2 linked regions of the Arabidopsis thaliana genome follow. The protein of the gene in region 1 interacts with the protein of each later gene in a pairwise test. Each region holds a gene or a part of one and is shown in the gene's direction. Other genes may lie near its edges. The genes, in order: AT3G13680 and AT1G26650.

Region 1 (3,845 bases):
CACTGTGCCGCTTGGGGTCTTGAAGAAGAGATCTATCAAGTTTGAGCCGGAGTTACCTAGAAGAAAACAAGCAGCAATTGACAGGTTGGGGTTTGGCCTTCTGAACAAAGTTGCCATGCTTTTCCCATCTGTCTTTTGGGGTGATGAGTTAGACACGTTTGGATGCCTCAACGAGAGTAGCATCAACCGAGGAGAGTTTTTTCTATTCTATGCCTACCATACAGTCTCTGGTGGCCCTGCCTTGGTTGCCTTAGTTGCTGGAGAAGCTGCTCAACGATTTGAGTGCACAGAACCATCTGTTTTACTTCACCGTGTTTTAAAAAAACTCAGAGGTAATATTTGATAACGTCATGAACCTTTTGCTGCTTCCAAGTTCTCGCCATAACAATGTTTTTGACATAATTGTAGGCATATATGGTCCTAAAGGTGTTGTTGTGCCTGACCCAATACAGACGGTTTGCACTAGATGGGGAAGTGATCCTTTGTCATATGGGTCATATTCTCATGTAAGGGTTGGTTCATCTGGTGTGGACTATGACATTCTTGCTGAAAGTGTTAGTAACCGTCTATTCTTCGCTGGTGAGGCCACGACAAGGCAACATCCAGCCACAATGCACGGTGCCTACTTAAGTGGTTTAAGAGAAGCCTCAAAGATTCTACATGTTGCGAATTATCTTCGCAGTAATCTAAAGAAACCTGTTCAAAGATATAGTGGAGTTAACATAAACGTTCTTGAAGATATGTTCAAAAGACCCGACATAGCAATAGGGAAGTTGTCATTTGTCTTCAACCCATTAACCGACGATCCGAAATCGTTTGGATTAGTCAGAGTTTGTTTTGACAACTTTGAAGAAGATCCAACCAATCGTCTTCAGCTTTACACTATTCTTTCCCGGGAGCAAGCTAACAAGATCAAAGAATTGGACGAAAATAGTAATGAGAGCAAACTATCGTGTCTGATGAATACTCTTGGATTAAAGCTAATGGGTGCCAACTCAGTACTAGACACAGGTGGTGCGTTGATCAGTGTCATAGCTAACGCACGCAGAGGCAGAAGCAGGTCCCACGTGGTTGCAGGGCAATGTAACCTCCCCTTAAACCCCCTGCATTTTAATTGACCAATTGCCCCCTCAAAAGGTTCCTTGTTACTGTTTTTGGTAACTCATTTTTGCAGAGAAATCTGAACATGTCAAGAGAGAAGTTCAGATTCTCCACTAACCATCACATAAATTCTTCTCTTTTCTAATTTTTTTGTTGTCATTTTTGGGGGCGTTATTTTTATGTTTCTAAAACTGCGTAATTTATACAAACAATGGAAGAATGTTTCTGTGTATGGAATCGATGATGACGTTTGGAATATGCTGCAATTAGTGAACCAGATATAAACCAACACTAACCAGCAACAACCGAAACCAACCAAACTCCAGTAATATGGGCTCTAAAGATAAAAATGGAAGCTTCGGGATTAAGTAGAGTGTCTCTCAAGTCTCAAGGAACTTTAGGTTTTTTGTTAATAGAGCTTCTTCATCCACATAATAGAACAGCCTTTTTTAAGAACGTCCACACCTAAATTGCTGAAGCTTGAAAGAATGACGACCATGGGCGATCTTCCAGGCGATTTGGTAGAGGAGATACTCTCTAGGGTTCCGCTGACATCTCTGAGGGCTATACGATCTACTTGCCAAAAGTGGAACTCTTTATCGAAAAGTCAGATTTGTGGTAGAAAAGCAACAGCAGCAGAGAATAAGTTTCTGGGGTTTATGATGAAGGATTCAAGGGTTTGTTCAATGAAATTTGATCTCCAAGGAATCAGAAACGACGACGGGGAGTTGGTTGAGCCATCTATAAAGCAAGTAAGTAAACTCGATCAAATCGAGGTCTCTCAAGTTTTTCACTGTGACGGTTTAGTCCTATGCATCATTAAGGACAACACAGGGCTCTTGGTATGGAACCCTTATTTGGGGCAAACTAGGTGGATCCATCCGAGAAACAATTACCAGATAGAAGATAGGTATGCTCTTGGATATGATAACAACCGTAACCACAAAATATTGAGGATTTTCGATTTGTATCCAAGCAGCAACCGCGTTTTTGGGTACGAAGTCTACGATTTTAGCTCTAATTCATGGAAGGTTCTTGATGTCATTCCTGAGTGGGATATACAGTCTCATTTTCGTGGCGCGTCTTTGAAAGGGAATGCTTATTTTCCTGCGCAAAAGAAAGAAACAGTGGGAGGAATAAAGACAATAAATATTGAAGATGTTCTACTTTGTTTCGATTTTACAAGGGAGAGATTTGGACCGCCTCTGCCACTGCCGTTTCACTCTTACAATGCAGACTTTTTTGTGTCTCTAGCTTGTGTTAGGGAAGAGCAGCTCGCTGTGTTATATCAACGCTGGGGGGCATTTGAGACAATCGAGATTTGTGTTACAAATAAGATTGATCCCAATACGGTTTCGTGGAGCAAGTTTTTGATAACGTCCACTGGTTTTCCGGTTGACACTTTTTCTGGGAGCTTTTTCATTGATGAGGAGAAGAAAGTTGCTGTGGTTTTTGATTTAGATAGATATAAACCGACTGAGACCTGTCGCTACCAAATAGTTTATATTATTGGACAAGATGAATACTTCAAATCTGTCAACATGGGAGTTGCCCCAAATATCGCGAAGAACTCGTACCAAGCTTACTGTGTTCCACTTGTGTGCTCTTCTTCCTATGTTCCAAGCTTAGTTCAACTACAAATCAACAAACCGGGCAAAAGGAAAGAAAGTAACTAGTTCCATTTACACTACTTTTTATATTTTTCTTGCATCATCTTCTTTTGTTTCATTCCATTGACTTTGATGTTCTTTTGAACGATCATTAACTTGTGTTTTGCTATTTATCTGCTTATAAAGAAGTGGGGGGTTTTGTGATACAATCAGCTCGGCCTTTAACTAAAATCATACTAGTTGTTTAGATGTAGGAGTCCATATGGAAATAGATAGATAAGTTAAGAGAATCATTTACTGCCTCTGTTTATAAAAAAACACTCGAGGTATTGGAAATGTTTCATTTGTTTGATGGTTTGGTGGTCTGATGCATCGTGTTCTGTGTTTTGGTTTCTTAAACTCTTGAATGAAATTAGGCATAAATTTTGAGTCTTCCCTCAGCTTTATCCTTGAACAACCTTTTTAACATCTTGAATTTACCCATTTGGAGTACACAAATGCAACCATTCACAAACCTTCTCCCACATTCGCGCCAAGGACAATTCCACCCATGCCACGCTTATAGCTTAGCTTGGATTGCTCCCATCTCTCGCACTTCAAAACATAGCTTCTTTGAATGCAAGACCAATATACAACTCCATTCCTAACGATTAATGGGCGTCTCACTTCTTCTCTGAATGTGCCATTTACTTCCAATTTGAGCGACTTGTGGGTTTTCATCATCCGAGTGTCACTATCGGGAAATATGTTACGGCCTAAAGGAAACTCATCCCACAAACTGTGGTATATTATTCTCAACTTCAAACTCAAACCGTTTCATTGCATCCTCATCCAATTGATCAATACAAAGGGAAAACTAAAACATACAATTAAAACCAATAAACACCAACTTCTTAAGAAACTAGCTTGTTGCCATGTCATTAATCAACAAGCAATCTCGAGTAAAAAGTTATATTACATTAGTTCCTTATACATCAAAATCTGGATTTTACAAGGAGAGCTGTGTGAATAGCAATTCCAACTCCTTCTCTTGAGACAATGTTCTCTGTCCAACAAAGAAACATAAGTTAGTTAGTTTCAAAGGTGTTTCATATAGAGTAGTAATGTGAAGAAGAAGAGGATTGACTTACTTGG
Region 2 (3,930 bases), on another chromosome or scaffold:
TGTTCAAATTCTAAACGGACAAGAATCTAGATAGCTATTTGGTATCTCTGGAGAGCATATTACCAGTATATTGTCCAGCACTGCATCTCCATGGAGAACCTGGCCATGACAAAAATTACTGTCCAAATTACAGTCAAGAGACTTTGGTAAACATCTACCTAATTTCACTGGTGGGATCAAAACTTACAGGGACAAATCCTGAGTCTATGGTTTTAGCTACGGTTGCTAGATCTGCAGAAGCCACCTAATGCAAAAAGCAGTCTCATTGAAATCTAAACCCACATGCTTCAGATCAGGAAATATGTTAAGAAGTTCAGTTAGCTCTTACATCTCTTTTGGAGGTTGACCAACCACATGAAAATGGAGACATGCCTATCGTAGGAATGCCCTCTGCAAGAGATCATAATGTTTAGCTTCAAAATTCATCTTTTCCTCTTAGCCAGAGTAGGAAAAGAGAATAAGCTTAAGAGATACCTCGGGCTAGTGCTCGTACAATTTCAAGATTAAGATTTGTCACCTGCAAAAAGAAGTTGTAGACTATCAGAACAGCTCAAGACTATCTTACGTAAGAGCATCAGATTTAGCTAACAGTCTCACAGATATACGAGTAGCAACGAAACCAGCTTTGACAATAGGTTTCTCAAGTCCTCCTTTGTGAACCCCAGATCTACTGGCCTGAAAGTGCCCAAAGGAACCTAATGACAAAAATCAGAACAACACATAAGAAACCCAAAAACTAAATAACAGCTCAACTAACACAAGCAGGTCAATGATCTGTAAGAGCTAAATCAAAAATGTATTTTGATCCTTCATTATAAGATTTAAGCAGATAAGAATCAATCTCCAACTAACCAGCGCCATGAACCACAACAAATTTACTAAACTCAGAAGACTTTTGATCCCCTATGTCATCCACATCACAAGAAATCTCAGAGCTTCCAGGTCTCTTGCTCCAATCCATGCCAATAACCTTGCTTGGAGCTGAACCCTCCAACATAGCTTGACGTAACTGACACGCCACGACCTCCAGATTTTCATCGTGAATCTTCTCCAGCTCGTTTTTGCAAGTAATTGCCGCACCTCCTATCAAATCATTTAGACATTCTGCTGTTACAAAGTCTAGACAGGTAAAATTGATGGGAAATGAATAAAAGACAGATCTTTAAAGTCTTTCCTCATCTTCGGTATTCAATAGTCAAATCAGAATCAAACCCATAAGACAGAACAACTAAAATGCGATCTAAGAATCGATCCAGCAAGTATTTTAATAGGGATCAAAAGACAAACCAAGTTTCACAATGCAACGAATTGATCTGCTTCGACTCTCGGAAATATTCAGCTCCATTGTTGCGTCTCTCTCTAAAGCTCTCGTCTTTAGTGGTCAACGGTATGTCTCTCTCTCCCGCTCTAACTCAACTTCATCGTACTCGTATCCTTCTTCTTGCCATTTCCCATTCACCGGAAAGATTCTCTCTTTTTTTTTTTTTTTTTTTCCATAGAAATATTCTTCTTTTTATTCCTCTAAAGAAGCCCATTAAGCTATTATTGGGCCTAACCAAATTGATCAATTTTTTCAAACCGGGTTTATGGTTTAGTGTTTTAAGGTTTCAGTTAAATTAGCGGTTTAGCTTCAAGTTCGCGATGGAGTAGAAGAAGATTACCTCCGACAAAAGCACGTTCACTTGTGCCACCGACAAAATTGGAAATCTTACATTTTTTGTTTTCTCTAATCAAAATTATTGTTGGAACGTAGACAAGATCCGTTCCAAGATTCGTCTTTTTTTTTCAATTTGATTCCTGGGTTATCTGAAAGATCTTCTCTTTGCTTCGATTTCTATCTCCGCTGCTTGTGAAATCAACCTTTATGGTATGTAATCTCGAACTCAGCTAAAACACACTTCACTCTCGGAAACATGGAGACGGAAACGAATCAGGTTTTACGGAAACCGGAGCTAAAATCATACAGTCACAAACAATTTCACTCCTCAAATGCGTTAGAGATCTTAAGAGAAACAGTTCGAATTCTCCGGTACAATCTTGGTGCTTTAATGTTAACTACTGCTGTTTTGATCTGTCCTGTCTCTGCTTTGCTCTTACCAAACTTTTTAGTTGATCAATCATTAGTGAATAAACTCACAGTGAAGCTTCTTTTAGTGGCGAAATCAAGTGGTCTTCCTTTGCAGCCTTTTGTCAAACATTCTTGTCAGAAATTCGCTGAAACTGCTGTTTCGTCTGCAATGTGTTTCCCTGTGTTTATCACTGTGTCTCTGTTGTCTAAAGCAGCTGTGGTTTACTCAGTGGATTGTTCTTACTCGAGGGAAGTAGTTGATATAAGCAAGTTCTTGGTTATATTGCAGAAGATATGGAGGAGAGTTGTGTTCACTTACGTTTGGATTTGCATTCTGATTGTTGGTTGCTTCACTTTCTTTTGCGTTCTTCTTGTAGCAATCTGCAGTTCCTTCTCTGTTCTCGGCTTCTCTCCAGATTTCAATGTTTATGGAGCTATGCTAGTTGGTTTAGCCTTCTCTGTAGTTTTCGCTAACGCGATTATAATCTGCAACACTGCGATTGTGATCTCGGTTTTGGAAGATGTTTCAGGGTTAGGAGCATTGATGAGAGCTAGTGATTTGATCAAAGGGCAGATTCAGGTTGGTTTGTTGATGTTCCTTGGATCAACTTTAGGATTGGCGTTTGTGGAAGGATTGTTTGATCACAGAGTGAAGAAAGTTAGTTATGGAGATGGCTCTTCGAGGTTATGGGAAGGACCTCTTTTGGTGTTGATGTATTCCTTTGTGACACTTATAGATTCGATGATGAGTGCAGTGTTCTATTTTAGCTGCCGAGTTTATTATAGTATGGAAGCTTCTAGAGGTGAAACTCAGCCAATCATGGAAACGGTTACGGTTGTGGATGCTGAGTAATGGTGCGTTGTGCGGATCAAACTCGGTGAATGGACATGGAAACGTATTAGCTGAAGAAGAAGTTGTATATCATCAAATGGGGTTTTATTGAGCACTTTTTGTTTCACTTTGAAACTTGATGCATCTTTAAGGTTTTTGTTATATATGGTTTCTCTGTTTACATTGTTTGAAGATTATATAGCATCCCAAGTTCGTTCATAGTTCTGCTCTTGTTTCTTTTTAGCCAGTTTGATTGAGTCTTGAAAATCTTGGGCGTAAAATAGTAAAATTAAAAAGTAGGTGGGCCTTTATGCAAGGTAATTATATTACAAAGGACTTGAAATTAAAACCAAAAGTAAGAACAAACCGGTTCGCATGGTTTAAATAATCTGTGCTCGAGCGGTCAAATTGTAAAACCACCAAATAATTCTTCGTCTCCCTCACCGTCGCGGCGTCGCCACTCGCCGTCACAACCACCGTCGTTCAACATCACTGTCACCAAAAGAATCACCGTCGTTCGGTCGTGACGTGTCTGGACCTATTTCATCTCTTTGCTCGTGACTCGTGAGTCAAATACTCTTGGACCTTTGCTGTTATCTGTACCTCTAATTTTGTGATTTTCAGATTCCTTCTCGTTTATCGAGTTGGATTCTCTGTATTTGAATGTATTTTTGATAGGGTTTCGTTTGGAAACCAATTTGATTCTCATATTTAAAGTGTAGTTACGTGGTTTGTGTTCTCTCTTGGGGATGTTCACCACCTGTTCGATGAAATGCTTCTACGTATTAGTTTGATGCAATTTCTGTATAGTTTCGACGCTCTCCGAGCTTGTATTTAGATATTGATGGTTAGGTGACTCTAGATTCTGAAACGAACATTTCAAGGCTCTAGAAACTTATTCTGGACTAAGTTTATCAAATAAACAAGGGGATGGTTAGAGCCTTAAGCTTGATATGTTTATGTTCGCATTGCAGTAATGGAGGAGGGACGTCAAAAAGACTTGCAATTGTTGGAGGAGATTATCGACAAA

Evidence for each region.
Region 2: the proteins of AT3G13680 (region 1) and AT1G26650 interact in a protein complementation assay, tested with the Arabidopsis thaliana proteins (one large-scale study listed by BioGRID).

The regions. Positions count from the first base shown.
Region 1 is NC_003074.8:4,476,466-4,480,310, reverse strand, and holds AT3G13680 (F-box and associated interaction domains-containing protein), read left to right. Parts: upstream 1-1,559; 5' UTR 1,560-1,589; coding exon 1,590-2,777; 3' UTR 2,778-3,022; downstream 3,023-3,845. Other genes in the region: LDL2 (LSD1-like2), read left to right, coding at 1-332, 409-1,118; AT3G13677 (uncharacterized protein), read right to left, coding at 3,219-3,509, 3,704-3,754, 3,842-3,845.
Region 2 is NC_003070.9:9,208,422-9,212,351, forward strand, and holds AT1G26650 (Son of sevenless protein), read left to right. Parts: upstream 1-1,629; 5' UTR 1,630-1,913; coding exon 1,914-2,921; 3' UTR 2,922-3,167; downstream 3,168-3,930. Other genes in the region: AT1G26640 (Amino acid kinase family protein), read right to left, coding at 64-99, 188-244, 329-390, 475-517, 598-695, 853-1,083, 1,288-1,345; AT1G26660 (Prefoldin chaperone subunit family protein), read left to right, coding at 3,877-3,930.